Canis lupus familiaris: one gene and its partners. The main gene of each other region encodes a partner of the protein of the gene in region 3 in a complex. Links are inferred from orthologs where the notes say so. Each region holds a gene or a part of one and is shown on either strand. Other genes may lie near its edges. The genes, in order: BNIP1, BET1L, VAMP7 and STX18.

What was found.
Region 1: VAMP7 (region 3) and BNIP1 share a complex: the UniProt entries of both Homo sapiens proteins name them as parts of the SNARE complex. The link is inferred for Canis lupus familiaris from reciprocal best matches to the Homo sapiens genes VAMP7 and BNIP1.
Region 2: VAMP7 (region 3) and BET1L share a complex: the UniProt entries of both Homo sapiens proteins name them as parts of the SNARE complex. The link is inferred for Canis lupus familiaris from reciprocal best matches to the Homo sapiens genes VAMP7 and BET1L.
Region 4: VAMP7 (region 3) and STX18 share a complex: the UniProt entries of both Homo sapiens proteins name them as parts of the SNARE complex. The link is inferred for Canis lupus familiaris from reciprocal best matches to the Homo sapiens genes VAMP7 and STX18.

Annotation. Positions count from the first base shown.
Region 1 is NC_049225.1:40,185,009-40,192,731, reverse strand, and holds the start of BNIP1 (vesicle transport protein SEC20), read left to right. Parts: upstream 1-2,720; 5' UTR 2,721-2,789; coding exon 2,790-2,873; intron 2,874-5,339; coding exon 5,340-5,432; intron 5,433-7,723. UniProt on the Homo sapiens protein: As part of a SNARE complex may be involved in endoplasmic reticulum membranes fusion and be required for the maintenance of endoplasmic reticulum organization. Also plays a role in apoptosis.
Region 2 is NC_049239.1:25,709,233-25,717,183, forward strand, and holds BET1L (BET1-like protein), read right to left. Parts: upstream 4,899-7,951; 5' UTR 4,811-4,898; coding exon 4,792-4,810; intron 4,232-4,791; coding exon 4,140-4,231; intron 3,937-4,139; coding exon 3,880-3,936; intron 3,759-3,879; coding exon 3,591-3,758; 3' UTR 1,476-3,590; downstream 1-1,475. Other genes in the region: ODF3 (outer dense fiber protein 3), read left to right, coding at 29-118; RIC8A (synembryn-A), read left to right, coding at 6,092-6,175, 6,388-6,435, 6,521-7,108, 7,551-7,642. UniProt on the Homo sapiens protein: Vesicle SNARE required for targeting and fusion of retrograde transport vesicles with the Golgi complex. Required for the integrity of the Golgi complex.
Region 3 is NC_049260.1:124,838,380-124,846,040, reverse strand, and holds the start of VAMP7 (vesicle-associated membrane protein 7), read right to left. Parts: upstream 5,066-7,661; 5' UTR 5,051-5,065; coding exon 4,815-5,050; intron 3,386-4,814; exon of another isoform or gene 3,315-3,385; coding exon of another isoform or gene 3,312-3,314; intron 1-3,311. UniProt on the Homo sapiens protein: Involved in the targeting and/or fusion of transport vesicles to their target membrane during transport of proteins from the early endosome to the lysosome. Required for heterotypic fusion of late endosomes with lysosomes and homotypic lysosomal fusion.
Region 4 is NC_049224.1:70,408,457-70,415,034, forward strand, and holds the end of STX18 (syntaxin-18), read right to left. Parts: intron 5,010-6,578; coding exon 4,951-5,009; intron 3,587-4,950; coding exon 3,517-3,586; intron 2,937-3,516; exon of another isoform or gene 2,720-2,936; intron 1,945-2,719; coding exon 1,864-1,944; intron 1,088-1,863; coding exon 992-1,087; 3' UTR 564-991; coding exon of another isoform or gene 563-563; 3' UTR 53-562; downstream 1-52. UniProt on the Homo sapiens protein: Syntaxin that may be involved in targeting and fusion of Golgi-derived retrograde transport vesicles with the ER.

The DNA of each region.
Region 1 (7,723 bases), on a different chromosome or scaffold from region 3:
AATTGAAACACATTAAAACACATAAAAAAACTATAAAATTGTCATTTTGGTGTGTAAATAGGACAATAGAACAGAAGGTCTAGAAATGGATTCGAACATAAGAATTATGGTAAATGTAGCATCCGGAACCAGTGAGAAAAAGATGGATTCTTCAGAAAACAGTGTTGGAACAACTGGGAAACTCTCTGGAGAAAGGAACGTTGGCTCTGTATCTCATACCATAAGCCAATATATATATATCTCAAAATGTGTAAATGAACAAATGACAGAAATGGGAGCAATTCATTTAAAACCTGTGGGGTGGGGGTGAGGAGGCCTTTCTAACTTGGATCCTAAATCCAGGAGTCATAATTGAAGACTGATAAATTCTATGTGAAACAAAAAATTCAAAAACTTATTTAAGGCCAAAACCATCATAAGCCAAGTCAAATTCTATAGACTACATAAAAAGCTCATCTCTAAAGGCTAATCCTCCTGAAATATAAAGAGCTCCTGGAAACTGGTATGAAAAAGAACAACCACCTGACAGAGAAATGAGCAAAGTAAATACAAATAGCACTCAATTTCATTCATGTAAGAGAAAAGTGAATTAAAGAATGGTATTTTTTACTCAGTCAAATTGGCAAAGGGGCACCTGAGTGGCTCAGTCAGTTAAGCATTGGCTCAGGTCATGATCTTAGGGTCCTGGGATTGTGCCCAGGATAGGGCTCCCTGCTCAGCGGGGAGTTGGCTTCTCCCTCTGCTCCTCCCCCTGCTCATGTGCACTCTCTCACACAAAAATAAAAGTTTTTTAAAAATTGGCAAAAATCCTAGTATTTAACACACCATGTTGGCAAGGCCGTGGGAAAGCAGGCATTTGTAGCACATTGTTGTGGGAGTGTAAATTGATATAAACTCTCTGAAGTGCAATTTGGTAATTCTAAATTTTAAATGCACAAATCAAAAAATAATAATAATAAAATGCACATATCCGGGAATCCCTGGGTGGCTCAGCGGTTTGGTGCCTGCCTTCAGGCCCAGGGCATGATCCTGGAGTCCCGGGATCGAGTCCCACGTCGGGCTCCCTGCATGGAGCCTGCTTCTCCCTCTGCCTGTGTCTCTCATTAATAAATAAAATCTTTAAAAAAAAATAAAATGCACATATCCTTTGACTAGCACTTCCATTTTGCACTGCGCAAATCATCCTGTGCCTATTTCTTCATGTATAAAATGGATAATTCTACCTCATAGGGTTGTTATGAGAGTTAAATTAGATGACACACATTAAGAACTTAGTACAAAGTGCCTGGCACATAGGAAGTGCTCCAAAAAATGTCAGTAATGTCATAGCAGCTAATGCACATTGAGTTCTTAAACACATGCCACATGACTACACTGTGCTTGGTGCTTTTCATGTACTACCTCATTTAATCCTCCACCTCTGTGACTCTACCAGTTAGCCTCAGAATTCTGAGGGGCAGAGCTGTGAAGTGGGTCCTCCAGCAGGATTCAAGCAGGGTTGACTCTAAGGCCTGCAATACATTGCCTATTAGGTGCAGTGGGGTGATGAACGCCTTAACGGATGGTGTGTGGAGCAGTGGAGAAACACAGATAGGCAAGCACATAGCCCCCTGTGTACGACACTATACCCAAGGGGCCATATTTGGTTTTTGAGGGAAGACGTGGCTTTTAGTGAAGGCTCTGCCACTTTCAAGTTATGTAACTTTGGGGCAGGGACGTTCAGTTTTGATTTATTTCGCTTTGATCTACTCTTGGTCCATCTACTGATCTGTAAAACTGGGGTATTACCTATTTCAAGTCTGGTTGAAGGATTAAGAGAAAAACACAGCTAGGCATTCAGGTCTTAACAATTTATGCTTGCTGATGTGAACAGAAGCACATGGGGTGGGAGCAAGAGGGGGAAAGCATTCTAAGAAAAGGGAACAGCACATTCCAAAGCTACAGATCCAAAAACAGCTTGAGGAATCCAGGAGAGCGATGGAGTGAGGTGGCTGATGGCCTTGGACTATTTGATAATAAAGGCAGGAGCCACTGTTCGTTGAGGGTCTGCTCTTAATTATTTCCATCAAAACTACTCCAGCAAGGTAGGCTTTAATAAATCCAACTGTACACAAAAGGCACGTGCCAGGAGCTACAAAAGAGGTGGAGGTGGGGAAGTGACTTGATCAGTTGTGATTTTAGAACCCTTGGACCATGTGCTGGAAGAGGCCTGTCTTGAATTCCACACGTGAAAAGCAGTAATAACATTTACCATCTTTTCATTTGCTCCACAATTATATTCACTGTACAACATATGAAAAATATAAGGAAATTTAAAGAGATATAAAAAATTGTTAATTCCACCTTCCAGAGACATCCCAATTGATACTTTCCTTTTTTTTTTTCTCTCTCTCTCTCTTCTGCAAAAAACATGTAGTCATTAGAATGCCTTTTAGGTAAAAGATGGGGAGAGGCCAATGTTAAAACGCTCTCGATACTCCCTCTCTTCTTCTTCTTTTCTTTTCTTTTTTTTTAATTTATTTTTATTGGAGTTCAATTTGCCAACATCTAGCGTACCACCCAGTGCTCATCCCATCCAGTGCCCCCCAGCAGTGTTGCCCAGTCCCCCCCCGCCCACCTCCCTTCCACCACCACACCAGAGGCGAGTCCTCCGGCCTCCTCGCCTCGACCCTCGCTCGCCTCAGGTTGGTCCCTAGAGGGCGCTGCCGAAAGCCCCGACGCGGAACGAAGGTGACGCAAAAACGAGTTTAATTTGGGCCCCGCCGCGGCCCGTAGCCGGCGTCCTCAACATGGCGGCTCCCCAAGATGTCCACGTCCGTATCTGTAACCAAGAGATCGTCAAGTTCGACCTGGAGGTGAAGGCGCTTATCCAGGTACTAATTCCCGGGACGGCTGCCGGGCCCTGTAGCCCTGAACCCAGGCTCCACCGGCCTCCTGTGAGCTCGGCGGTCTCAAGTCTGGGAGGTCGCTGGTCCCGCCCCACGGCCCGCTACCCCCTGGCGGCCCCCTCTGGTCCCGTCTCCTGGGCCGTTGGCGTTGATCCTCCCTCCGCGCGCTGTTGTCTTGCCCTCCTCTGAACGCTCCCGCGTCCCCTCGTCCCTGGCCAGGCTTCCGGTCTGTGGCCACATGGGTCGCCCCCGCACACTTGTCGACTGGGACGACCTGTCGCCCCGACGGGCCCCGCCTTCTCACGCCTCCCTCCGCCGCGCTCGGTGGCGCCCCGAGGGCCGCGAGCCCCGCCCTCCCCTGGCCGCCGCCCCGGCGGAGGTGCCCCAGGGCACCAAGGGCCCCGTCGTGCGGGAGGCCCCCGGCCACCTAGATAGTAGCTGCGACTTTGTAAATGAGGAAAAAGGCTAAAATGCCAAGGCCTGAATCAGAAGGCAGGTGGTGGCAAGACTGCGACCGGACAGGGAAAGTCGGCCTAGACGAGGGACTTAGGGGGTCTCTGAAACTCGGTTTAACAGATGGGGTACCGGACACTCCTTGCCTTGAGCCACTTAAGGGTAGAAGGCAGCAGAGCAATAACTGCTTGGCCTAGGCAAGAGGAAAGTAGAAATGGTTCCTTGAATTTAGCAAAAAGAAACCAAGAGTTTTAAACTCTTTATTAGTAGTTTTATTTTTTTTAAGGTTTTATTTATTTATTCATGACAGAGAGAGAGAGAGGCAGAGACACAGGCAGAGGGAGAAGCAGGCTCCATGCAGGGAGCCCGACGCGGGACTCGAGCCTGGGTCTCCCTGGGCCCAAGGCAGGCGCTAAATCGCTGAGCCACCCAGGGATCCCCTAAACTTTGGCTTTAGGCAAGTTATTTCCTCCGTTTCCAAAAATGTTGCTAAGCATTAGATGTAGACTCAGATTTTGCAACTAGCTGTGGCAAAAAGCGAAGGAAAGTAGGACTCTCCATGGAGACCAGATGCAGAATAAACCAAAGTAGTGCTTTATCGTGGTACAAGGAAGTGTGATTTAATGAGTAAGCCAGAAAACAGATGAGAAAACTTGATGCAAACTGTTAAACTTCTTCAACTACACTTATTCATACATATTGCAAAACTTCTGGGCTGACTTTAAGAAAATAAATTTAGGATTCATATAAAAAGATTGCCTTTTCACATAATCTAAATTGCTTAAGCCCTTCTGTACTCTCTGATATTGGGGTTCTCATGATATACCTAGATATACTGTGCTCTTACTGTGTTCCAGCTCCTTTGCAACATACTTTGCATACGTACCTGGTCTATGTGGTAGGTAATGTGATGAGAAAAGTGAGGCACAGAGAACCAGAGTGACTTTTTGTTATCCAGCCAATAAATTGCTGCAGCTGGAGTTTGCATCTACATATTTTGGCTCTAGAGCCTGCTCTAAAATCTGACCCCAGTAATTTTGAATGTCCAGAAACAAATTCTTTTTATTTTTTTATTTTTTTATTTTTTATTGGTGTTCAATTTACTAACATACAGAATAACCCCCAGTGCCCGTCACCCATTCACTCCCACCCCCCGCCCTCCTCCCCTTCCAACACCCCTAGTTCGTTTCCCAGAGTTAGCAGTCTTTACGTTCTGTCTCCCTTTCTGATATTTCCCACACATTTCTTCCCCCTTCCCTTATATTCCCTTTCACTATTATTTATATTCCCCAAATGAATGAGAACATATAATGTTTGTCCTTCTCCGACTGGCTTACTTCACTCAGCATGATACCCTCCAGTTCCATCCACGTTGAAGCAAATGGTGGGTATTTGTCATTTCTAATAGCTGAGTAATATTCCATTGTATACATAAACCACATCTTGTTTATCCATTCATCTTTCGTTGGACACCGAGGCTCCTTCCACAGTTTGGCTATCGTGGCCATTGCTGCTATAAACATCGGGGTGCAGGTGTCCCGGCGCAGAAACAAATTCTAAATCTACCCTTGAACAGGTCTGTAAACACTGTGATTTGTAATAGATGATCGAAGTTAACCTTGCCATATGATGCCAGGAATTGAGCATCCTGATTTTCAAGTTGTATCACTTTTGGATGTCCATTCTTGTTGGACATATGATCTGCTTTAAGCCTTTTATACTGACTAGGTGGCATTTTGTTAAACTTTAGGAACTAATAGGACAGTTGTGTTTCTTTTTATGCTATTATAGTACCTGCTCAAAATTAAAGAGGTTATGAGAGAAATGTAAACGATAATGTTTTTGCTCGTGTTGCAGAGGTAAACAGCAAAGATCAGGATGAATTACAGACAGTAGGCCAGCCTAGTGGTGGTTCAAGCCAACTCCCCCTGTACAGGTGGTTTCATTTCATGTCATTTGCCTCAAGAAAGGCCCCTTCACCTCTTCACTGTCTCCTAGGATATTCGAGATTGTTCAGGACCATTAAGTGCACTTACTGAACTAAATACTAAAGTGAAAGAGAAGTTTCAGCAGTTGCGGCACAGAATACAGGTGAGTAGCTGTAGAACTGAGATGGGGAGAATGGGTGACAATGAGGAGGCTCTATCCTGGGAGTAACCTCTGCTTGAGAGCTAGCTGTCCAGGTTCTTTAGTAAATGTTTTGACAGTGAGGGTAACTGTACTAACATGCTCTCAAGATAAAAGTGAGGAACTTTTGAATGTATCACCAGTGTCTCCTGGGTTTTTTTTTTTTTCATGTTATGCTTTGCCTAGTCTCTTCCTACCTGTTTCTGAGGTCTCTAGTCACTTCATATGCACATATAAACACTCCTGAATCCAACTATGGTATAGGTGCTATCTCAAAAACCACTGGAGTGAGAAGTACCCATTTGTATAGCCTGTTTCTGCTGCTGTGCCCTAGTGAGAATGAGATGGGTGCATGGATCTGCCCATCACTGGGTGGGTCCTGGGGCACCCCATCTCAACTGCTTATGATACTAGGATTTAAAGACCAGATGCCAACCAACAGCCCTTTTTGTTGCTTAACAGAAGATGGTCTGTTTCAAAGCTGGAAGAAAAACTGGCCATTTGGACTCCCTGAGAAGTAGTATGTCTGGGTCCCATGTGTTGCCTTTCTAAGAGATTTTCAAGGACAATTGTGAAAATAAGCAGTTCTTGTCATAAAAGTTCACTTTAGAATTTTAGCAATATCACTGAACCTAGCTGATCTTTTTGCCTCCATCTCTAGCACTGATTTAATCATTTAATTTTTTTGAAAGGCTGTTACTTTTATATATTACGTATTTATCATATCTATGTGTGTAAATATGGGCGCACGGTGAAAAGTCTCATGTACCAGTCTTATTCTGTTTCCCTCCTCCACACAAGTAACCACCTTTGTTACTTGTTACTTACGTATCTTTCTGTGGTATATGTACTCAGATAATAGAAAAAATAAATATATTTTCCTATTTCCAATTTCTCATCTAAAAGGTAGCACACAAAACACCACTTTTTAAAACTTAATATCTATTGGAAATGCTTCCATATCAGTATTTCTTTTTAAGATTTTATTTATTTATTCATGAGAGACACAGGGAGAAAGGTAGAGACACAGGCAGAGAGAGAAGCAGGCTCCATGCAGGGAGCCCGATGTGGGACTTGATCCCGGGACTCCAGGATCAGGCCCTGGGCTGAAGGTGGTGCTAAACTGCTGAGCCACCTGGGCTGCTCCCATTTCAGTATTAGAGAGTTTCCTCATTCTTTTTTTATAGCCATAATTTATTTTTTAGCCAGTTCTGTGTCAAAGGGCATTTTATTTGGATTGCTTCTCTGCTTTTTGATTTGTTTTTTTTTTTTTTTTTGCTTTGCTTTTTGAAGCTAATGTATTCCCTAAAAGGTCTTTCTTCAACTCACATGACTTCAACTCTCCAACCACACCCACCACCTTAAGTATTTCCATGTTCTTTTTGTTTAAGTATCTAGGTGCTGACTCGGTGTTTATTTCCTTCACTAATTGAAATTACTCCACTGATACATTTACATATTAGGTCCCTCTCTCCCATCATCACCTCCTTGAGCACCAGAATATCCCTGACACCAATTAAGGACCTAAAAACACATGATTAGTGAATGAATAACCCCATCCCAGTTTTAATCTGCATTTCCTTAACATTTATACTAGGAAATGTATACAAGATTTCTTTTTGATGTTTTTAGCTCTTTACGTGAATGACTTCTTTGTGTATTTGCAACGAGATTGTGTGGTACTCAGAGACTTGGCCTCATATCCTTAGTATATAATCTCTGCATTGTAAATGTTGGGCATTGACTATGTATAAATACCTGTGTAAATGTCTTTGCGTATGTGGTGCTCCAACTGGAATTTGAGAACTATTTTACCCCTTTCTTTTCTTCTGGAACTATCTGGGTCTCTATGACAGAATTTCTAGGCAACCTTTTATGAGGAAACTATATACCTTTCTTCTTTCTTTCCTTCCTCCCTCCCTTCTAACCATACATCCATTCTTCTGTTCAATAGGTTTGGTGCCTAATAATGTTCTAGGCACAAAGAATATGTATAGTGAACATTAGGTGTAAAATCCTACTTTCCTGGAGTTCACAATCTGGCAAGGAATCTAGATTTTAAATGAATACTTAAGCAAGTAATAAACTGACTACATTTGCAAAATTTTTCCTTCATGTTTTTTTTCTCTCTGTCTCAGAATATCTGGGGCCATTAATTGGAAGTCATCTCTGAGCTGCTGAAATGGTGGATACAGACACATGTTCCTGACCAGCATGTGCAAATTAATATATAAATGAGTATATAAATAAATAAA
Region 2 (7,951 bases), on a different chromosome or scaffold from region 3:
GGCTCTTCTCACGGCCTCCCGCTCCCAGGTGACAATGACCAAGCCAAGCGCCCCCGTCGTCACCTTCGGCATCAAACATTCCGACTACATGACGCCCCTGGTGGTGGACGTGGAGTAGCCCCGGCCGAGCCCGGCACCCAGAGCCTTGGCACGTCCCGCTCCCGCAACAGCAGAGGCCGGGGTGGGCCCCGGAGGCCGCGGCACCCCCTGCGTGGCTGGGCTGTGGCCGCCGGGGCTGCGGGGCGGGACACACTTGGACAATGGGGACCGGTTATTTTTTCTACTCTGCTTTCGCATGTGCTAATCTTCTTTCCTGCTGTGCTCAGATATTTAATAAATCAGATTTCACAGTAACAGGTCTGTCCTGGCAGCGCAATCAAGCTTTTCCAAAAAGAGGCCCCCCGGGGTCCTATCCTGGCCTCCACGGCCTGGGGTCCAAGTGGAGAGGAGGGCACAGCACCCCTGGATCCCCTGCCATGCCCACCCTCCTATTTCCACCCTGGGTCCCGCACTTCCCATTTCATTGTACACTCCAGGGACGGTCACGCCAGCATCCGTCCCCTTCCACATGGTCATCTCCCTGCGTGAGACTCACCCTGGAATCTGGACGAGAACCTGGGGCCACCCTCGGGAAAGCGATACTGCGTGGCCTCTGAGACCAGGCCATACAGCATACAGGTGGACCAGCTCCTCTGTGCAGCTAGACAGCCCCCTCCTCTGCTCACTCCAGCACCAGCCACCGTGGTGTGAGCATGACACTCAGCAAGGCCACGCAGGCGTCAACCAGCAGGCTCAAGAGCATGGGTTTAGGTGACAGCAGCCGAAGGCTCAGGTCTGACGGCCGAGGCCTAAAGTTCTAGACAGACGCGGTCCCCACACTGTGCTCAAATTCCAACCACATTAATCCTAAAATGTAAATTACTTTAATTGTGACTACATCTAAAGTGATCTGTCACACAACAAAGGCAACACGGGGAGCTCGAGGATGTGGGCCAGGAAAGGGCCTCCCAAGTGAGGCCAAGGACTGGTGTTCCTAGAGGCTGCAGGGAGTCCGAGGCCAGGCCTTTGAGGAGTGGAGTGTGGATCTCACCTCATTTCCAGAGAGAGGGTGCCGTGCAGACTGCAGGGGGGGAGGGGAGGCCCCACTGTTGTCCCCATGAGCCCATCAGCCATAGCCATATGGAGCTCAGTACAGCCACTGACCTGGGACCATGTGAGGCTATATTCTGAGCACCTCACATTTACTCATTTACCCCTGGGGGGTGATTACAGAAACCTGGCTGACACAGTAGCAAGCCTGTGACCGCCCACCTGTGTGTGTTGGGGGCGGGGGGCACACGAGGAAGGGACACAGCAGAACCAGAGACAGAGGGAAGCGGGGGCGCAGACCACCAGTATCCACGGCCAGCCTGCCGTCCGGGATCAGCGCCAGATGAAACGGTCAAGCGCCCAAGAAAATGAGAACAGCAAGACTGTTTACTTCATCACGAAGCTGTTTATTCCAAATGTGTATTAAGTGCCTTGTCCTTGAATGATGAGATAGAGCCTGGCAGTGTGTCCTCACTTGGCACGGGCTGAGCCCCCGGTCCTTGTCGTTTTAGGGGTCTCAGGGACCGTCAGTAAACCGTGTGTAAACCTGGACGGTGTGGTCTCAGGCAGGACAAAAGCTCCGGCAGGTCAGCAGCAGAGCTGCCACGCCCCCTTCCTGGGATCCATCCCAATGCGAGAATGAGAAACAAGACGGTGAATCAGAAATGAACTGAAACTCAGACCCCAAATAGCTGGAAGGGCCACACAGAGCTGTGGAGTGGAGGTGGGGAGGCAGGACAGTGTGCAGCCGTGGGCTGTCTCGAGGGGACAGCAGAAAGCACTTGTCAAGACTACCCGAAACACAAAACCTAAACCAGCCCACATCGACCCCGTAGTCTGGTGTGTCTCTCACAGCTGAGGCATGTTCTCAGGGAGAGGTCAGCAGCACAGGCCCAGGGAGGGGGGGGGGACGCAGGCCACGGGTGCACCTGCCGTGTGGCCAGATGGACACTGCAGGCTCCATTAACCTTGGTGACCAGCGGACGTGTCCCGGTGGCAAGACAAGACGTAGCAGGAGACCACCAGAGAGCTAACTCAGATCCACGGTGTGTACGTGGCGACTGCGGAGGAAAGACCACAGGGCCCGAGAGGGAACGTCGAGTCAGGGACACAGCAAAGCTCCACAGGCAGGGAGGCCAGCTGACCTCCCTGGATGAGCAACTAGCATCTGGAGGCTAAGGGCACTCAGAAGATGAGGCCGAGCAGCCCAATAGCTGCTGTGCAGGAGATAAGGAAGCTATGATGACCACGTGCCAAACTTGCTGCAGGGACAAGGGCAAGAGAGGGGAGGGAGGCAAGGAGAACACAGAGCAGCGGCAGTGCTGAAGGGGAGGCGCCCAGGGCCAGAGAACGGAGCTGATGTGTGGTCGGCGCACGTGTGATCACCCACGGGATGAGGGGGGGAATGGGCGGACAGCAAACCAAGTTGTCCTCTGGGAGGAAGGGGGAGCGACTGGGCTGGCAGAGGATCGGAATATAGGGGAAGGAACCGGGGAGGACACAGCTAGCAAATCATTTCTTATGTGTCTTCATGCACATACGAGGGTGCGGACGCCCAGCTGGGCCTGCACTTTGTGGTTTGTGTGAACATGGGGCTGGCCAAGCGGGCAGTGAGGGCTCAAAGAGAGGCCAGGGATGAGGCAATGATGAAGAGTCCCCTTATTCAGGGAATACTCACTGCTGAAAGGCCTCACATGGTGGAGGGGAAGCTGCCCGGTGACCCCTGGGTCTTATAAAACTTGTTAGGGAGCCCTCTCGTCTTGACCACAGAGGTGCTGCACCCCCACCCCAAACACACAGACAGAAACCCTTCTAGAGCTCCCATCTCTGGTCTCCCAGAAATACGTCTTTGGTGTTAGGTAGATCCTGAGTTCCTGCTCCTGAATACAAGACTGTGGATCCAGAAGGATCAGGGCCCAGTGCCTCTGGCCAAGGTTGAAGTCCACTTCTTCATCCACAACCCCCTGCCCTTCTCCGAGGGTCTGGGGGGCAGACGTGACCTCGGGGCGGAACCCCTGGCGCAGACCTGCCCATGTTCAGCAGCCCTACCGAGTAGCTGCTCCTCTGAACAGAGCAGATGGTGCTCAAAGTTCATAACCGAACCCCCTTCCTGTGTCAGCTCCAGGCTGCTCACGTATCGGACGTGACCTTACCCAAAGCCTCAAGACGTCGAAGCCCCAGGGGACAAGGAAGGGCTGCTGGCCACAGGTGGCCACGTCGAGGATTCACACCCAGCTCTGCCAGGGCCTCCACACCCCGAGTAGCACAGGGGCTGGGGCTTGGTGTCCCCAAGGGAAGGAGCTGCACTGCATGGGACCAGCCAACAGGAGCTCACTTGGGCGCAGGCAGCCGTCAACTCCCAGGCACACAGCAAGAAAACTCCCAGGCCGGGATCCCCCTTTCAAAGGAGTATTTTGCAGGTAGGTCCTCAGGAGCCTAGGCCACCAGGCGGGGGAAGACCCTGGTTGCCCCTGCACCCACAGAAGTCGGCTTCTGGTGGCTCACGTCCTTGCCCTTGACAGAAGGTAGGAGAGGATGAAGAAGACCACGATCAGGCCCAGGGCCATGCCACACAGAAGCTTCCGGTTGTCTCGCCCGGACCTCGCCATGGTGGAAAAGCGCTTCACGCTCCCCGTGAGCAGGCCTGTCATGCTAGTGAAATCCGAGTCCTGAGGGAGGAATCCCAGCAAGGTCACACAGGGCGGCGCCTCCACGACTGCCACGCAGGTGCCGCAGCGCCACCAGGGCCTGCCCGAGCGGCCCGCGCCCCGCGCCGACGGAGCCCCTTACCATGCTGTCCAGGTACCGGTTCTGGTCTTCTGCGTCCCTGTCGATGTCCAGGGCCAGCTGCTCAGAACGCGGGGCGGGGGGCAAGGTCAGGCCAGAAAGACTCGGTGGGTCCCGCCCGCGAGGCCAGCGGACCCGCCAACACCCGCCGGCGGGATCAGGCCGGGCCTCCCCGGGCCTCAGACACCAGCGCCCCGAGGAAGCCCGGGACCCTCCCCAGCCTCTGCCCTCCTGTCCCCGCTCGCAGGGAGGACCGCACTGACCGACTTAAGCCTGGTGACCTTGGAGGCCAAGCTGTCGGCCATCCGCTTGTTCTCCCGGTCTAGAATCTCCTCCACGGCCGCGGGGCTCTGGGCTGCGAGAAGGGACAGTCTGAGCCTAGGACCGCAGGCGCGGAGGCCCCGGTGAGGGGGGCCGCGGCCCCTGCTCGGCCCCCGCGCTGCCCCGGGGCTCCCTCCGTCCTGCGGACAAGCCAGGGGCCGCGGCCGGGGCCGGGGCGCGAGCGCGGACAGCCCGCGGAGGACGGCGCCCGGGGGTGGGCCCGCGCTGGGAGGCAGTCACCCGGCGGGGCCGCTCGGAGCAGCACTGGCGCGGGCGCGGCGGCCCCGCAGGTCGGCCGGCAGCCAAGGCTGAGCAGCGCAGGCCCGAGGCCCCCGCACCCCGCGCGGCCCGGGGCGACCCCGACCGTCGGCCACCGCCCGGGCTCGGGGCGCGGACGTGCGGCGGGCCGGACGCCCCGATGGCGGGCCCGGGTGCGCACGAAGGCCGAGGCGGGCTGTCAGCGTCCCGCCGCCCGCCCTCGGCTCCTGCCGCCCCTCCCGGGGAGACCAGGGGCTCTGGGGCACGCGAGGGGCCCGCCCGCCGGAGGCCCCGGGCGGAGCAGCCGCGGCCCCCCGACCCCAACCCGCCGCTCACCCCGCGCCCAGTCCGCCATGGCGCCCGCCCCCGGCCCCGTCCCCGGCCCCGCCCCGCCAGCGGCCCAGCCACCGCCTCAGCGGACGTGGCGCAACCGGGGAGGACCGGGACCCCGCCGCTTCCGCTCTGCCCGCCGACTTCCGGCCGACGTCCGGCCGACTTCCGGACTAGGGGGGCGGGCCTTAAGTGCCGAGGACGCGTGACAGACGCCGCCAGCGGCCAATGGCGCGGAGGGCGGGGCCGGGTCCCGCTCCGGGCGTCCCCGCTTTCCCCCGCGGGCCTGGCTGCTGGGGTCGCCGCGGGTCCCCGCCCCAGGCGTTGCCGAGGGGACGCGGTGGAGGCCAGGGCCTGGAAGACGCAAGGGTGACGCACTCCGAAGGGAAGCGAAGCCAGACGGGGGCCGGGAGTGTGGGGGCAGCAGAGGCCGTAGCGGCCGGTGCCTCTTGCCTTGGTCCCGGCGCCGCGGGAACGGAGGCGGCCCACAAAGGCTGGCTGCACGGCGGGCACCGCTGCGACCACACACACGGGAGAGGGAGCTCAGTCCAGGCCACACACCTGGGACGTGGCTGCCGGTGATCCTGACCCTCCCCGCCCTCCCCTGGAGCTCAGGGACATGTTTGCGTCCCCGCCGCGGCCACCGAACGACCTTCCCCCGGATCCCTTCTTATCGTCCGGCCTCAGCAGAAATGCTACTTCCGCACATCCCTTTGCAGCCCACTTTATTCGCCACAGCGCTGAGACCGCTGCCCGTGGCTCCTTGCCCTCACGTGCGAGCTCACGCTCCCAGAGGGCCGGGAACCAGCGGTCGGCGGGTCCCGGGGCCGCAAAGTCCTTCCCACTTCGCTTTTCCCCCGGACTTGCACTGGTGCTAGGCATCTAGGGGGGCGTGCGTGGGAAGGTGAGTGGGTCCCCGTTAGCTTCGGAGGCCGCTCAGCTCCGAGGTCGAAAAATCACCTAGTAGGACCTTTGAAACTCGCGCTCACTCCCCGGCAAAACACTCAAGTCCCAGCCAGCTGATCCAGGTCTCGCCCCCTTAATGAACCTACAGCCCTGGCCCCGCCCCGCGGCGCGCGCTCCCAGTCCCGGCATGCCGCGCGCGCAGCCCTGGCCCCGCCCCGCGCGCTCCCAGTCCCGGCCTGCCCCGCGCGCAGCCCTGGCCCCGCCCCGCCCCGCCCCGCCCCGCGCGCTCCCAGTCCCGGCCTGCCCCGCGCGCCCAGTCGGGGCGGAGCGGCGGAACTCCGCCCGGAGCCGGGAAGCAGCTCCCCTTCCCGCCGGCTCGGCGCGGGATCCCGGAGGCGCCATGGATCCCCGGGTGGTTGCGGATGCCGTGGAAGCGGGCGAGGAGGACGTGATCATGGAGGCTCTGCGCACGTACAACCGGGAGGTGAGCGCGAGCCGTGAACGTGCTTGCACGGAAGAGGTGGGCCGGGCGGGGCTCGCGTGTGCGGACCCGGGCCTGCGGGCTGCGGGCGGCGGGCGGCGGGCGGCGCGCGGCGGAGGGGCCGGGGTCTGCGCGCACCTTGGGGGACGGGGAGAGGCGGGGGGGGTGCGGGCGCCCGCGGCGGCCGAGCCCGCTGAGCCTCCCCGTCTCTGCAGAACTCCCAGAGCTTCACGTTTGACGACGCCCAGCAGGAGGACCGGAAGGTGGGTGCGGACCGAGGGCAGGGGGCGGGGGCGCGTGGCCCCGGGGTAGGGGGCCTGCTGGAGCCGCTCTTCTTCCCGCCCACAGAGGCTGGCGGAGCTGCTGGTCTCGGTCCTGGAGCAGGGCTTGCCACCCCCCCGCCGCGTCACCTGGCTGCAGAGCATCCGCATCCTGTCCAGGGACCGAAGCTGCCTGGACCCTTTCACCAGCCGCCAGAGCCTGCAGGCCCTTGCCTGCTATGCCGGCATCGCCTTGGAGGGGTCTGGCCCGGAGCCTCTGGACATGGACGTTGTCCTCGAGTCCCTGAAGTGCCTGTGCAACCTCGTGCTGAGCAGCCCGGTGGCACAGGTGCTGGCAGCAGAGGCCCGCCTGGTGGTGAGGCTCGCAGAGCGCGTGGGGCTGTATCGCAAGAGTAGCTTTCCACACGACATCCAGTTCTTTGATCTGCGCCTCCTCTTCTTGCTCACGGCACTTCGCACTGACGTTAGGCAGCAGCTGTTTCAGGAATTGCGGGGAGTGCACCTGCTGACTGATGCGCTGGAGCTGACCCTGGGAATGAGCCCTGACGAGAACCCCCCGGAGCTTCTTCCTCCCCAGGAGACCGAGCGGGCCATGGAGATCCTCAAAGTGCTCTTCAATATCACCTTCGACTCCATCAAGAGGGAGGTAGACGAGGTGAGGACTGACTTGAGCCCACAGGTAGGGCTTAACGGTGTGGACACTTGCTGGCTCTGTTTGCCTATAGCGAACTCGTAGGTTCCAGGTATCAGACGGGGAGAGGACGGGAAGAGCTCTCAGCCTATTGGGAGGAGGCAGGGAGCTGTACATCATGTACAGGGGCCTTCAGAGACTGTCTGAGAAAGGCAGAGGGCATACCTGGCACTTGCAGCCTGGTAGGAGGGCTGTTTGGTACATGGAGAGGTCACGAGCAGGACACTAGAGTAGGTTGTGATTTTTATCCCAGGAAGACCTGGTAATGGTCTTGGTTAAGGAAATGCTTTCAAGGCTACGTGGGGGAGGACGAGGGGTTGGGCACACAGTAGAGAAAATGCATAGTCCGTGCATGTGATCCCAGAGTGGGGCCTCCTCTCACAGGAACCCCTTTCTTTTTGGTCAGGAAGATGCGGCCCTTTATCGGCACCTGGGGACCATTCTGCGGCACTGTGTGATGGTCGCTGCTGCTGGAGACCGCACAGAGGAGTTCCACGGGTGAGGGTGGGGCCCGTTCAATGGAAGGGAAGTGTGCTCAGGGGTCTAGACAGTAGTTCTCACCCTGGCTGTCGGCTAGGCTTCCCCCTGGAGAGGCTTCACCTACAGGGGTGGGATTTCCATCAGTGTGTGTCTATGGTAAGGGGCTAGGACAAGAGAAACGAATCCAAGAACGGTATCTGTGTCTGCAGTGGAGTTAGTAGTAACCAACCACGTGGTAGTTAGCGAGTAACTGCTGAGTTCTGTTTCGGCGACTTGTGCCTGGGCAGGTTCTGGCGCTCCAGAGATTGTCCGCGGGGCTTCAACCCA
Region 3 (7,661 bases):
CCTGCTTCTCCCTCTGCCTGTGTCTTTGCCTCTCTCTCTCTCTCTGTGTCTCTCATGAATAAATAAAATTTAAAAAATATATAATTTAAAAAAATAGAGAAAACCCAGCACTGCTAATTACTAGTACTTTGTGAATGTCTAACAAGTTATAAAGTGCTGTATAAATATAATATTCAAGAAAAAAAGAATGGAAAAGATAAGCCAGAGAGAAAACAGAAGGAAATAAAAAACCAATAATGAAATATAAAGGGAAACCCTGTCTCAACACTGTTCCTCCCTGTTCTCTTATTCGTTCCTTGCTTGGTCCCAGAGCCGTTATCCCAGTTCTACTTCCTTCCTGCTAAGAATCCTGTATGAGTTTCCGGTAGCTGCCTTGACACAGTACCAAAAACCACAAAGGCTTAGAACAACAGAAATTTATTGTCTCCTACTTCTGGAGGCTAAAAGCCTGAAATCAAGGTGTTGCCAGGGCCAGGCTCCCTCGGAAGTCTGTAGGGGACAATCCTTTCTTATCTCTTCCTAGCTTCTGGTAGTCTGCTGGAAATCCCTAGCATTCCTTGACTTTCAGCTGCCATCACTTCAAACTGTGCCGCCCTTGTCATATGGCATTCTTCATATGTGTCCATGTCTTCACATTGGAGGCTCTAGGTCTTTTCTCTTATTAGGTCACCTACTCCACTATGACCTCATTTTAACTTCCATCTTAATTACACCTGCAAAGACCCTTATTTCCAGATAAAGTCACATTCACAGGTAGCAGTGGTCAAGATTCAAAATATCTTTTTTGAGGGCATAAAACATCTTACAAATTCATTGTTCCTCCCAAAGCATTCTTACTCTTCCCTCTCTCTATATTCACATCATGCCAACTTGACTCCCTCTTCTCTCCAAAACCTTTATTCCATCTCTTTTTTTACTCTCATTAAAGGCCTGTCCTTAAAGGGATGGGTCGAAGGGCAACCTCCAAGAGTTTGGAGTTAGAATCTTGCCTAGAAGATTCCAAGAAAAGGACATTTTTATTCCCGTTGCTGGGATTCCAAAGGAAAAAAGATATGCTACAGGGGAATCCAACTGAGAATTCTAGATGTATTTTTTTTTACAGAGAAATTATTAAATTGTGGTGAAGGTCTTTAAGTCCATGAAAGGTTAAGATGTTACCAACTGGCATAATAACTGAAATGCCTGAATAGCATTATTATAAAGAAAAAGGCATCAACTTACAAAAATATCTTTTTTTTCCTATATTATTTATTTATGAGACACAAAGAGAGAGGCAGAGACATAGGCAGATGGAGACAATGTGGGACTCGATCCCCGGACCCAGGGATCACACCCTGAACTGAAGGCAGATGCTCAACCACTGAGCCACCCAGGCGTTCCCTCAAAAAAATCTTAAAAAGGAATGTTTGAAATATGCCCATTTGTAAGTAATGGATTGCCTGTATTAAAATCAAAGAACAAATTGCTCAGAGCACCTATGGCATAGTTGCTTAAGTGTCCAACTTGGTTTCGACTCCAGTCTTGAGATCGAGCCCTGTGTCGGGTTCTAAGCTCAGTGCAGAGTCTGTTTAAAACTCTCCCTCTGCCTTTCCTCACCCCACCCCCACCACATTCTCTCTGTCTCAAATAAATTTAAAAAATCTTTTAAAAAATTCCTCCCCAATCCCCATGTCCCTCACTAGAAAAAAAATACATCATAATAAAAAAATAAAAAAACAAACTGCAAATAAAATAGCACAGCAACAATGCAAACACTACTCTTCAGTGGAGGCATCTTTAAGTAGACAGTGAGATGGTTTTAGGGAACTGAGTAAAGAAAAAGGCCAAGTCAGTTTTTCTCACATTCGAGTCTCTGTGTTGAGGACTCTTTTTTTTTTTTGAATTCTGTATTTTTATTTTAATAACATTAAAAAATGTATGTAAATATCCTGGATCTACACATGTATCTTATAAATGAGTGATAGCACACAATCCCATGCTGCAATTTGCATCATGAAGACCTAAGAGCCAAGAAATTCTCTAAGATGACAGTGCTGGGAAGCCTGGGTGGCTCAGAGGTTTAGGGTCGCCTTCAGCCCAGGGCGTGATCCTGAAGACCCGGGATCGAGTCTCACGTCAGGCTCCCTGCATGCGATTATTATTAATATAAAAATACAAAATTTATCTTTCGCCATAACAATTTACAATCGAAAGATATCTGCATAATAAAACCTTTTATTTGAAGAATTAAGACTTGACATTCTGAAAATGACATAGTGAGAAAGTAACAATTAAAAAAAAAAAAGAAAGTAACAATTATCTCAGGCTAAGGAAAAAATAATACTTGAAGTTCTGACTGTACCAAGTGGAAACCAAATGATACTATAATGTGCTGTATGAACACAGATTGTGCAACTGTTCAAACAAAAAAAAGGTGGAAAAATGGACTTCTCATGTAGCACATGGTATAATAGTGAATGCAAAATTCAAATGAATGCATTCCATATCATTATTTATATTATTGCAAAGGAATGTATCATGTTAATGCTTGTAACAGCTCATTAGCAGAATGTTTCATAGGAAATACACATGGAAATTAGATTGTTTACAGTCTTATACTGTTAAATTGGCCCATTAAATTAAATAGGAAAGGGGCATGGAAAGTGCTCAGGAAAGAGATGGGAACACATTTTATGGGAGAGCTATGGAACAAGAGAAGGCACAGAAGTGACAACCAAGTAGGGAAGGTAAAGTAGCCTGATGAGATGGAAAGCCCCACATTCGGTGAATGAGAAGGTCACCTTCTCTAAAGGTGAATGACCTTATATAAAGAAGGCCTTGGGGATCCCTGGGTGGCGCAGTGGTTTGGTGCCTGCCTTTGGCCCAGGGCGCAATCCTGGAGACCCGGGATCGAATCCCACGTCGGGCTCCCGGTGCATGGAGCCTGCTTCTCCCTCTGCCTGTGTCTCTGCCTCTCTCTCTCTCTCTCTCTGTGACTATCATAAATAAATAAAAAAAAAAATTTAAAAAAAAAGAATAAATTTTCAAAAAAAAAAAAAAAGAAGGCCTTGTGTAAATGAAATAATTAATGGATTGGATCAAATTATTTTTCTATTTCAGTTCAACACATATGTTTTGAGGGTTTACAATATGACAGCCAATGTGGTAGACAGGGGAGATATGAAGGCCAGTAAGAAAGGACCTCCATACTCAAGAGAGCCATAGTACAATGGGAAAGACAGACAGAAATAAATGCAATAAAGTGTAACCAGTGAATAATCTAAAACTGTATAATATTATTCAGATTTTTTAAACATCTGTGGTTATCTCACCATGGGTGAAGAAAAAATGCAGGTGTCAGGCTATGTACTAGGAATTTCCTCAGCATACCGTTAGAATCATGTCTCTGGAAGAGAGATCAAAGTCTATTTTATCCTATCTTTCCAGAACCCAGCACAGTGCCTGGCATACAATTTTCCCTCAAATATTTGTTAAATAAATGAATGAATCATGAGCATGTTTTGGTTTAAATAACAGATAACTTCACATTCTGTAGGACCTGGTAAGAAGGATATTTTCATTACTAAACTATCTCCTTAAGTAAAATAAAGCAGTTGTGCTGCTTTCATCTAATCTAATCCCCAACTCTTCTGTCTGGGTCTTAGGAGGAAATAAACCAACGACAAATAAACCACCAATTCTGATGTAATAACCTTGAAGATAGAAGAATGAAGAAAAAAATATCAATATGGCAGAGGAAAAGAAATGTCTACGAAAAGTCCGAAGTCTGGTTACAGAGTTGTATTCTTGGTGGTGTCACAAATATTCTTTTAGGGTCATGTTCTGAGACCCAACCCAAGCGCTCGGACTTTCTCAGGATAGGAGCCTACCCTATGTCAAGTCAACCACCTGTTCTACTTTGCATTAACCACCACCACATCCCATCATCTGGATTATTCTTGTTTGCCCACACATACGCAAACACGTAAGCTACTCAGAGTAATGATCTCCTAGATCTTCTTTCTAGCTGTATCCCTTGAACTCAGAAGAGTGTCTGGCACACATTAACCTTTGAATAAATATCTATTAAACATATGAGTGAGTCTGCTCTCAGCCACAGCTATTTAAAGGGAAAACACGTCTCTGGGATCAAGGGTGGGACAATGGAGGTACAGGGAGTTGGGCGCAATGAATAAGACAGAAAAGGACCTGACAACTGGTCATCTGTGGGGGTTATGGGAGGGAGATGTAAAAAATTCATCAAAGAGTCTAGTACATGGTCAGAGCTTGTTAAATGCTGGCCAATTTTAACCGCACCATACAGAGCTGATGCTGCGGAAACAGGTCTGGGTAGAGATACGGAGTCCCTATGTGAAGTGAGGAAGAAGAGGAATGAAACAATGGGCGGTGAGAAGGGACGCGGAGGAGTACAAACCCACGAAGGAGCTCCGAAGTAGGGAAGCGGAGTGACGTCATGAAAACAAGGGCGTAGAGACGAGTTTTTAGAAGACTTAGATCACAAGATTGAATCTCAGGATTCAAAGGCTGAGGAAAGGTGTTGGAAAACGCGAACTGAGGGAAAGTTAACGTTCCCCCACCCGTGACAACAACTTAAGTGACGCATTCTGACACTCTTTCATTGGAGGCCTTTTCAGTGGCAGGAAACGCAGTTCATCAAAACTGAACCTGCCCGACAATTCGAACCGTCGACACCAGAGAAGCCCAAGTCACCCTTGCACTGCCTCCTCGCTCCACCCCGCACCGGCTCGTCCACACCTCCGCCCCCCTCCGCGTCGTCTCCCCGCCTTCTGCCCAGCGCGCCCCGTTCCGTTTACCTGGCCGGCGGCCCCTGAGAGCGCGTGGGCTCAGAGCCGAGGGGCGCGAGTCGCAGCCGGACGGCCGACTGCCCGCTACCAGAGGAGGCTGGGACCGGACGCCACCGGCTTCCGCGTAAAGCGCCCCGCCCGCGCGCGGCCTCCTGGGAATGTGAGCGCTCCTCCAATAGAAGTGGGCCGTGGGGCGGGGCCTGCTGCATTCCCAGCCCCGGCACTTCCCAGTGGCCGCACTGCATTCTGGGAGTGGTAGTTCCAACTGGCGTAGCGCCCGGTCCTCCGCAGAGTCAGTAACTCGTGCTAAACGACGTCAAGCGAGGTTGCTGCCGCCAAGGGAAGGATGCAGGGCCGCGAAGAGTGCACCGGCACCGACTCGGGGGGACAGATGAAGAGCGAAGCCTGCCCCGCTGCCTACGTGCTGGGTCTTGGCAGGTAACGTCTCCTGTTATTTCACAAAATAGAGCTGGTGTCCCAGGAACCTTCTGCTTTCTCTACGGAATTCCCTGACCGCCTGAAGACCCCGACAACCCTTCCTCCCATTCATTCGTTGCCAGTAATAGAAATAACTCTCCTCCGCCTCCGCCGCCGCCTCCGCTCCTCGGATCTGAGCTCCCCCGCGCGTCCGCTTTGCTTCCCTTTGCCCTCCCGACTCCGAGCCTCGCTGCACCGCTGAATCCTGTCCCGTGACTCCTCCAATGGTCCCTGCTTACTTGCTCCTGACGACTAGCTTTGAAAGGTTGGCGGACTTGCTCTCGCCCACTGCATTCCGGAGTCACCTTGCTCCATTTCGTGCCTTCGAACCTGTCACCACACAGACGGAACCTGTGGACTTTTGCTCACCTCTCTCTTCCAGTCAGAATTCTCGATCCTGTTGCTAAAACACTGACACTTCTCGACAATGACCGTCCTTCAAACCTGCAAGATTTCACATGATTATTTCCGCCCTCTTTAAATCCTCTTAGCGTGGAACAAAATACCACAAACTGGATGGCTTAAGCCACACAAATGAGTTCCTCACCGTTCTGGAGGCTGGGAAGCTTCGGACAGGAATGCCGGCGAGCCTGAGTTCTAGCGGGAACCCGCCGGCCCCCTTGCAGGCTGCTACCTTCTGGCCGCATCTCCCCGGGATGGAGAGACCTCAGCTCTTGCACAGCTCTCGGCGGGGCAGCAGTGTCACTCCGGAGGGCTCCACCCTCCTGGCCTACTTACCTCGGAAAGGCACCACCTCCAAATACACTCACATTGAGCAGCAGGACTCCCCCGTCTAAGTTGGGGGGAGGGGACGCAAACATCCACTTAATGGGACCTTCTCTTCTTCCGTCTCTGGCCGGCGCGCATTCCTGTTCACCTCCCGCTTCTATGGCAGCTCCTCATTTTCCTTTGAAATGTTCATGATTCATACTGTTCTGCCCTATGCCCTTTGGTGCTATTCACAGGTGTCTTGGGTGATGTCACCATTCCCACTGATTTGGGTGTCATCTGTATGCTGCGGGTTCCACGTGCAGGAAGCCCAGTAAAGACTCCTGAAGCCCAGACTGAAACATCTAATGACAGCTGGGCACCCCTTCTAAGCACTTAAAACTTAATGTAGCCTTCAGATGACCTAAAACATTTCTTCCCTCCCCTCTCCCGTAGCCTGTTCTTTCTCCTCCTCTAATCACTGCTCAGTGAACACCACAACCGTGCAGTCGCTTCCTAACACCAAAAGTCGCCTCTCATTTTGAGTGATTCCCCCCTCCGAGTTCACATTGAAACCGTCAGCAAGCCATATTAACTCTATCTCCTAAAAACGTCACTTGCCAAGCTTCTATTTTCTCATATTTAGATTGAGGATAATAACAGTACCTGTCTTCAACGGTTGTTGCAATGATTAATGAACAATAGTGCCAGACAGAGAGGAAGCACTTGAGGACGCTAAGAATTTATCAGACAAGCATTGTGTTTGTCACTGTCTCTCTTTCATTGGGTCTTACATAATGGTAACTAGCATTTACTTTTTTATTTAGTTTATATTCAGGGAGAAAGAAAAGGAAAATTAAGAAATGCTGAGATGGATGCCTGCATGGCTCACTGGTTGAGCGTCGGCCTTCAGCTCAGGGCGTGATCCTGGAGACCCTGGGATGGAGTCTTGCATCGGGATCCTCGCAGGGAGCCTGCTTCTCCCTCTGCTGTGTCTCTGCCTCTCTCTGTGTGTGTGTCTCTCATGAATAAATGAAATCTTTTTAAAAATGGTGAGATACTTTGTACAAATTACCTCTACTCCATTCCTCTTTGTTTCTCCAAGCATGACAAGGTCGTGAGGCACTATACACATGGTTCTAATCCAGTATCTGCAGGACATACCATACCTTAGTTATTGTTATCGGCTCTGAGGGGGCTACAGACAACTCGAAGTACATTAAGAGAATCATGACTAAAATGATCAGGGCACTACAAATCACGAATAATGTCTCTGTACCTGTACTGTACCTGTAGTATCTCCTTCACCATCTCCCCACCCACCCCTTCTTGTCACTTGAGATTGTTCTTTCTAAGACAAAATCTGATCACTTTGAAATCCTGCTTAAACCCTTCCTTGGCTCCCCATTATATAGAGGATAAAGTCTAAGATCTTAATAGAAAATCCATGGCCTTCCATAGTCTGGCCTATCTCTACCTCTCCTGCTTTATATTCTGCCTCTCTCAATGACACACTCTCTGCTCAAGCCTGCTTCTCTATGGTGGCATTCACTCATCCGTCCATCCATCCATCCCTTCCACTATTATGTATTAAGTGCCTACTATGAGCCTGGCCTATCATACATCCTGGAGTGAACATGACAGACATTGTCCTTGCCTATATGGAGCTCG
Region 4 (6,578 bases), on a different chromosome or scaffold from region 3:
CACATACACACCTTTCCTGCACAGACACACCAGTAAACACACTAAGGCAACATACCTTTGTACTTTCTAGTAGACATTTTATTGACTGTAAATTCACATGTAACTTTTGACATTTTCACTCTGTGCCAATAAAAAACACAGGACCCCTCCCTGTGGCCGCGTGACAGACTGTACTGCACACAGTTCTGCAGGGAGCAATGCAGAGCTGTCCGCACCCACACCAGGGGGTGGGGTGGGGGTGGGGGTGGGCATGAACACCAGCTTGTTTCCTGCACAGACGTGGTTCCAGAAGACTTGTGCTTCCCACTGCCAACAGGTGGTCAGTCCTGTTCATGTTTCCTAGAGGGTCAGGTGCACAGGCCAGGTTCCTGCTCCAGCCAAAAGCTCCCAGGGGCGCAGTGGCCCCTTGCTGAGTGCCCAGAGTCTATCCCTGCACTTCTTCTGCAGCCAGCAGGCCGGCGTCCACTGAACTACACTCGGACCCGCCGATAGGACATGAAGCAGCTATAGTTGCATTTATTAGGTCAACAGGGCACAGGTGCGTTTTCTATAACATAGTGATTCTGTCACATGGCCCAGGCAGATGAGAAGTCACAGGAAACAAAGAAATGATCATCTGTTGTGAGAAGTTATTAACCAGTGCTTCTCCCGAAGCCACCAGAAGGGCAGGGCTGGAGCCTCCCAGAGCCTGGCCTCTGGTCAGCCCTTCCACATTGGTCTCCAATTTAGGTGCAGCCAGTAACAATCCCCACCCCCCACCAACTCACCCACCTTGCATCAGGATTGCTACACAGGTCATTTTGTGTTCATTATTTTCTTTCTCAGCTACTACATGGGCTTAAAACCACAGGTCTGGGTGTCCCTTTTGTGAGAGTATACATCTGTCACAGCCCCCTCCCCCCGAATGGCTCTGTGATAAATCGGCTCACAGCCCTGCTCTGATGCCGGAGCCCACAACAGCGCGCCGCCTGCCGGGAACAGCCAGAGTGGACTAGCTGTCATACCAGTCCAGGAAGAGCAAGGAGAAGGAGCACATCACCAGGAAGAAGAGGACCCACACTCGGAAGCCAGCGTTGTTTTTAATGGCCTGGGGGAGGGGGGAGAAGGAGGGCAGTAGCACAGGGATTTGCATCACACAGGATTTTGGTTTCAAAAGCCCTCAAATGCTCCACCTGTCTGCGGGCACTCGCCCTGCACTGGGCTTTAACAGGGTATTGCTAGAGTCAGTGCTACCGGAATTAGACAAAACCATGGGTTTAGAATCCATCAGAAAACAAACAGGTATTTATTTCCCTTACTGGCTGGCCCTTAGACATACTTCCTGCATATTTCTCCCAGGAAACACCCAGCAACTGCCCATGTGCATCCTGGGGTTAAAACCACACACGCCGACCTCGAGTACCATAGCTGGCCCAGCTGCTGGCTCCCCACAGTACATGGCAGTAGTGGCCTCCCATCAACCCAAACCCGGGGACTGCACTCAGAAGACCGAGGACACTCAAGAGTCCGCTGTGGTGGCCCCAGTAAACCAAGGCCCTGGCCCTTAGGGTTGGGGCAGGGGGTGTTCAACAAGCTTCTCCAGTGGCGCCCATCCACGGATTTAGGGAGCTGGTGCAGCCTTTGCCAAGAGTAACCTCACGTGTCTCAGATGGCTCCTTTGGAGGAGGGTGAGTCACATCTCTTGGTAACAGCGGGTGCCCAGGGTTTGTTGGGGACAGAACAGGACTGTCCAGCACAGTCAGGAGGTGAGCCCTGGGGATTGGGCCCCAGCATGGCTCTCCTGCAGCCCTGCCAGCAAGACCACCCCTACTGCCTGGACTCATTGCCACATAGCCACGGCCTGGGGGACCCGAGAGTACTCACCTCTCTGATGTCTTCATTACCTTCCTTGATATTCTCAGTTGCCCCTACAACTAACTGGTGAATGCTGTCGATCTCGGCCTCCTGTGGAAGAAGAGTAACAGGTGGACCCAACCACTATCTCCTTTCCCCAAGCACACAGACCTCAGAAGCTAGCAGCTGCCCCTTACAAAGGGCCAGGACTTTATAAACATGAGCCCATGAATCCTTACGGTGCCCTGAGGGGTAGGCCGCATCCTCATTTTGCAAAAGGGAAACAGGGTTCAGAGACTTCACCCCGAAGTCACACAGCAACCATGTGGCAGGACTAGGACTGGAACCCAGTACCTGTGCCGCTGCCACCCCAGGTGTCACCTTCTGTGCCACTTGCTGGACAGGAAGGGACGAGCACAAGAGCTGCCCGTTACATAGTAGCCGCCACAGGCCAGGGCCCTTCCCTCTGGTCTCTCCTGTATTAGGTTCGAGAGGTAAGCTTTTAAATGCATGTGCTTTAAAACATACCCTAGCTTCAGAAAAGTGCTTTGTGTTTCACCATTTTATGTGTAACCTAAGAAAGTAAAGGGCTAAAATGTATAAACATGACCTCCCATGTACTGAGAGCCTCCCATGAGCCAGGAGCGTGTCCAGTGCCTCTTCCACCAGCAATGACAGCAAGGCAGGGGACACCCGCCCCATTCTGTGAAGGGCGGCAGGGCTCAGGGCACCCCAGGTCACAGGACACACTTCGGAAGTCTGGATCAGAGCCATGAGCTCCCCTCCCGTGCCGTGCTGCCTCCAGAAACAAGTCTGCTTGCTCTAACAGACAGCTGACGTGGCTGTTTGAGGTGTCAGGAGGGGGATGTGAAGGCTCAGCACATACCTGCCTAGTTCCTTCAGTGCGCAATTAAAGAGGGACAATTCTTCTGAACCTGAACTTCCACACTGTGAGGTTTCATGTACCTGATGTACGATTCAACCCTGGCTGTGAGCCTTAGGACAGGTTTTGTGAGGGGGGGGTATCTTAAGTCAACTACCCCAGTTTAACACGATGGAGCAAAATGATTTTGTCTTTGAAACCCTTCCATGGTCTGTGGATCCTAAAAACAAAAGGACAAATTTATCGGTCTCTAAAAGTTTTGCCAGTAGCTGACTGGAAGAATTTTAGATGTGGAGGCAAGTATGAGTAACGTGAAAATCCACTTGTGAGAACAATCCTGTTTCCTGTGTGGACATGACACCCAAGGTGGCACGGACCTGGCTTTCAGAGGGCCAGCCGAGTCTGGGCTACTATCCTGCAGGCATTGTGTTGGGTGCTCCCTGTGGGTTATCTCTGGGCCTTAAAACAGCCCTGCAAGGGCCACTCCGTTTTATAGACAGGCAAACCATAGCTCAGAGGCTACCCTGGTGACCTGAGGGCCTCCAGAACAGAGATCCACCTGACTCCCCCCTCTGAGCGCTCCACTGCACACCTGGGGTGGCCACGCCGTCTGGCTGCAGAGTGCTCGCCAACACAGAGGCAAGAGGCCCTCACCTGAGGAGCCGTGTGAGTGTGCACTGGCCCAAAGCACAAAGCTCTGCATGCACGGCTGCAGAGACAGGCAGCCTCAGAAGTATCTGGACTTCACAGTATATTCTTTTAAGCTAAAACTTTCAACAGTGATTTTTTTTCTTTCTTACCTGCTGTAAAACCTTCTCTGTGAATATCTCTTGGAGCCTGGAAATTTCAACCACTCTCCCTTCTATTTGCCTTCATTAAAAAAAAAAAAAAGGTTACATACAACCATTAGTACTTAGTCCTAACAAGAACGTTAACATTTCTAAAGGGATCAACTAAGTGAGAAAGCCTCTGGAGGAGAGAGGGACATCATGTCATCCAAGAGAGAGGGAGGAGGCACCACGTCCAGCTCAGGGAAGGAGGAAACAGGCATTTTACTTTCCAGCTCTCCTTCAAAGTCTCTCAGATTATGGGGGTGTACGGCGGTGTAGAAGCCTGCTCTCCCCTGTAAGCTGACCTGAGTGCCCCTGCCTTGGGAGTCCGTGCCCTTGGTGACAAAAGAGAGTCTTCTAGAAGGCCTATACCAGCCTCATAACCATAGTAACGAGGTGGGGATTCCAAAGAAAACACCAGAATGTGCTGACAACTCAACTTTGTTACTGCTCAGTAGGCTGAGGGCAAGCATAATTGCCATTCTAACCAACTTCCTGTGGAAAGGAAAAACTCTGGCTAGATCCGTCTGCAAAATATATCTATCTGGGTTCAGCAACCAAGTGTCTGAGCTTCTCCCTGTTTCAGGGGCAGCCAGGGGCCCCCAGTGGTGGTCTGGGGGCTAGAGTAGGGCCCTAGAGATGGAGGCTGCAGGGGCTGAGCTCCCAGCCGAGGAGGTCCGCAGTGTAAGGGCAGGAGGCTGCCATTCCCCCCAGGGCTTCTAGGCCTGAGGAGGGAAGAGTGAGGCAGTGGGGGCAAGGACTAGGAGGCCCCCAGAAGAGTACAGGTGCTGTCAGAGGGAAGTATCTGCACTCGGAGTCCTTGGGACTGTGTAGGTACAGTGCCAGGATGTGCTTGCTTTTGGGATGAGCCTATAATGCAGCAGTTTCAATGCCCTGCAAAAGCCTGGGCCTTCTGTGCAGATGCCCCAGACATTCTCAGGAAACAGGCCCCAAGTCCTTCCCCAATAGGACCAGCTGGTGATGGTTCAAATGGGTGAGCATAGCCACTAGCCTTTGGTGCTGCCAACCTTTTGCTGAGGGAGCAGGCTGACTCTGGCAGAGCCAAGTGCAGGAGGCTGCCCCTGGCTAGTCATTCTTCGAAAGGCCCCCCTATCTCACCTTGAAGTGATGAAGTGCAAACAGCCCCCACCTGGTGATGCTCAGTACCTGGTACAATCTGTAGTCACTGGGAGCCTGGCAGCAGCACATAGATGGGGACTACCCACAAATTAAGGGGAGTCAGTAGGGGTGGCAGCTCCCTTGACCCCGAAATGGCTCCAGGGAGGCATGCATGTGGCCAGGGCCACAAGGGTATATTGGGGCACCAAAGTAAATTAATAAAGTTCTCAGTTTCTGGAAAAGCTATAACATAGGCCATCAAGCCTAGAGAAACCACATACCTACCTTACTTCATCAAACAGGCTGTTCATTTCACCAATTAGGCGCTGGTTTTCTTGTTCAAACTGTGAGGAAACAAACACATGAAGGGTGATGTCATACTCAAACCAACACAGCCAAAGGCAAGTGTCTAGGCAAGGCGTCTGCACAGAAATCTTTGATCTGCCCTCTGAGAATCACTAGAGTCCCTCCTTCCAGCGTCAGCATGACATCCCCATGGCTGGATTTCTTCCTGTCTGCAAGCCAACATGATGCCTGCGAAGGTGAGCCGAGGAGGTGCAAGGTTACCTGTCATCCCCCCGCCCTCCCTGCTCTCCTCTGGCGCCCACAGGGCTGTGCTGTCTGCCACTGGGACCATCTGTTTTAAGTGGAACTGTGAGGTCCAGCAGCTAAGGTGAGAGCAGGGCAGTGTGATTTCAGAGCCATGCTCTAGCCAATGCACTGTGAGAGAAACACAGGCCCAGAAGCCAGAGGAGCCCCATTCCTGGCGCTCAGGCTACAGGACTCGATGTGGGTAAGGATACCACCCTGACACCCGGGAGCTCATCAGAGCCAAGTTGACTGTGGAGCAGACAGCTGCTGTTCCCACCATTCCTGCCAATTTGACTCTGGCCAAAAAAAGGATGGTGTGTCTGAAGCTTCGCCTTGGTATGGGGCCAGAAGATCTCCTCCCCCTCACCTTAAGGACCAAGCACTCAGCCTTCACATGCCCACTCAACTCCCTGAATGCACAATCAGCCTCTGGGCAGGGTCCTCTAGCTCCTCAGCCACATCCCACAGACCTGGCGCAAATATCTTCTCCACAATGTATCCCGGGTCCCCAAGCTTGATGCTGTTTCTCATTTTTCTAACCTTGGCCTAGCACCTTCTGAACATCTCTTAGGCTGTGAGCCATTTTAGGCCTGGTAATAAGCTGTGCATGTCCCAAACTCTCTGGGTGACTATGAGCTGCCCAAGGGTGGGAACCAAGTCAAACTCGACTCTGAAAAGGCACCAACCACACTCTTCCTTTCGCATTTGTTAGAGCTGCAGCCATGGCCACAGATACATTTGAGGCACCATCTGTGCCAGGTGCTGTGTGAGGAACAAATGGAAGCAAGCTTTGGCTCTCTGGAGGCTTTGCCATTCGACTGAAGCTCTGGCTACCACTTGCTTGGTAAAACAGAGGGAAGAGATAATGTTTATGGAAGTCACAAAGGTCACCGAGGCCGTGCTCAGCATGTCACATGCAGGGACCCTCAGTCTCCCTGCTGCCCTGTCTGGCTCCCACTTCGTGGGGAGTGAAAGAGCTGTGCTCACTCAGCTCTGCACCTGCCCAAGCTTCTCCCTGTGCTTCTCTGTCCTCCCCTTGTGCCTTGCTCACTTCTACTCACTGGAAACACTGGGAGGGTCACTTTCTCTGGGCAGGGCCTCTTAATGGTCCTCCGTTCATGTCCCTCCAGCCCCTCCATGTGGGTGCCCTCTGTCCCGTCCACCAGTTCCCCTGCACCCTTGCTGCACCCATTCCTTCCCTGGCACCTACGCTCTGCCCTCATAATCCTGCAGTCTTCTCCAGTCTGTCCTCCATGCCTCAGTCACAGTATCTAAGATGCCAGTCATGTCACATCGCACCACACCAGCCCTGCCCCATGGCC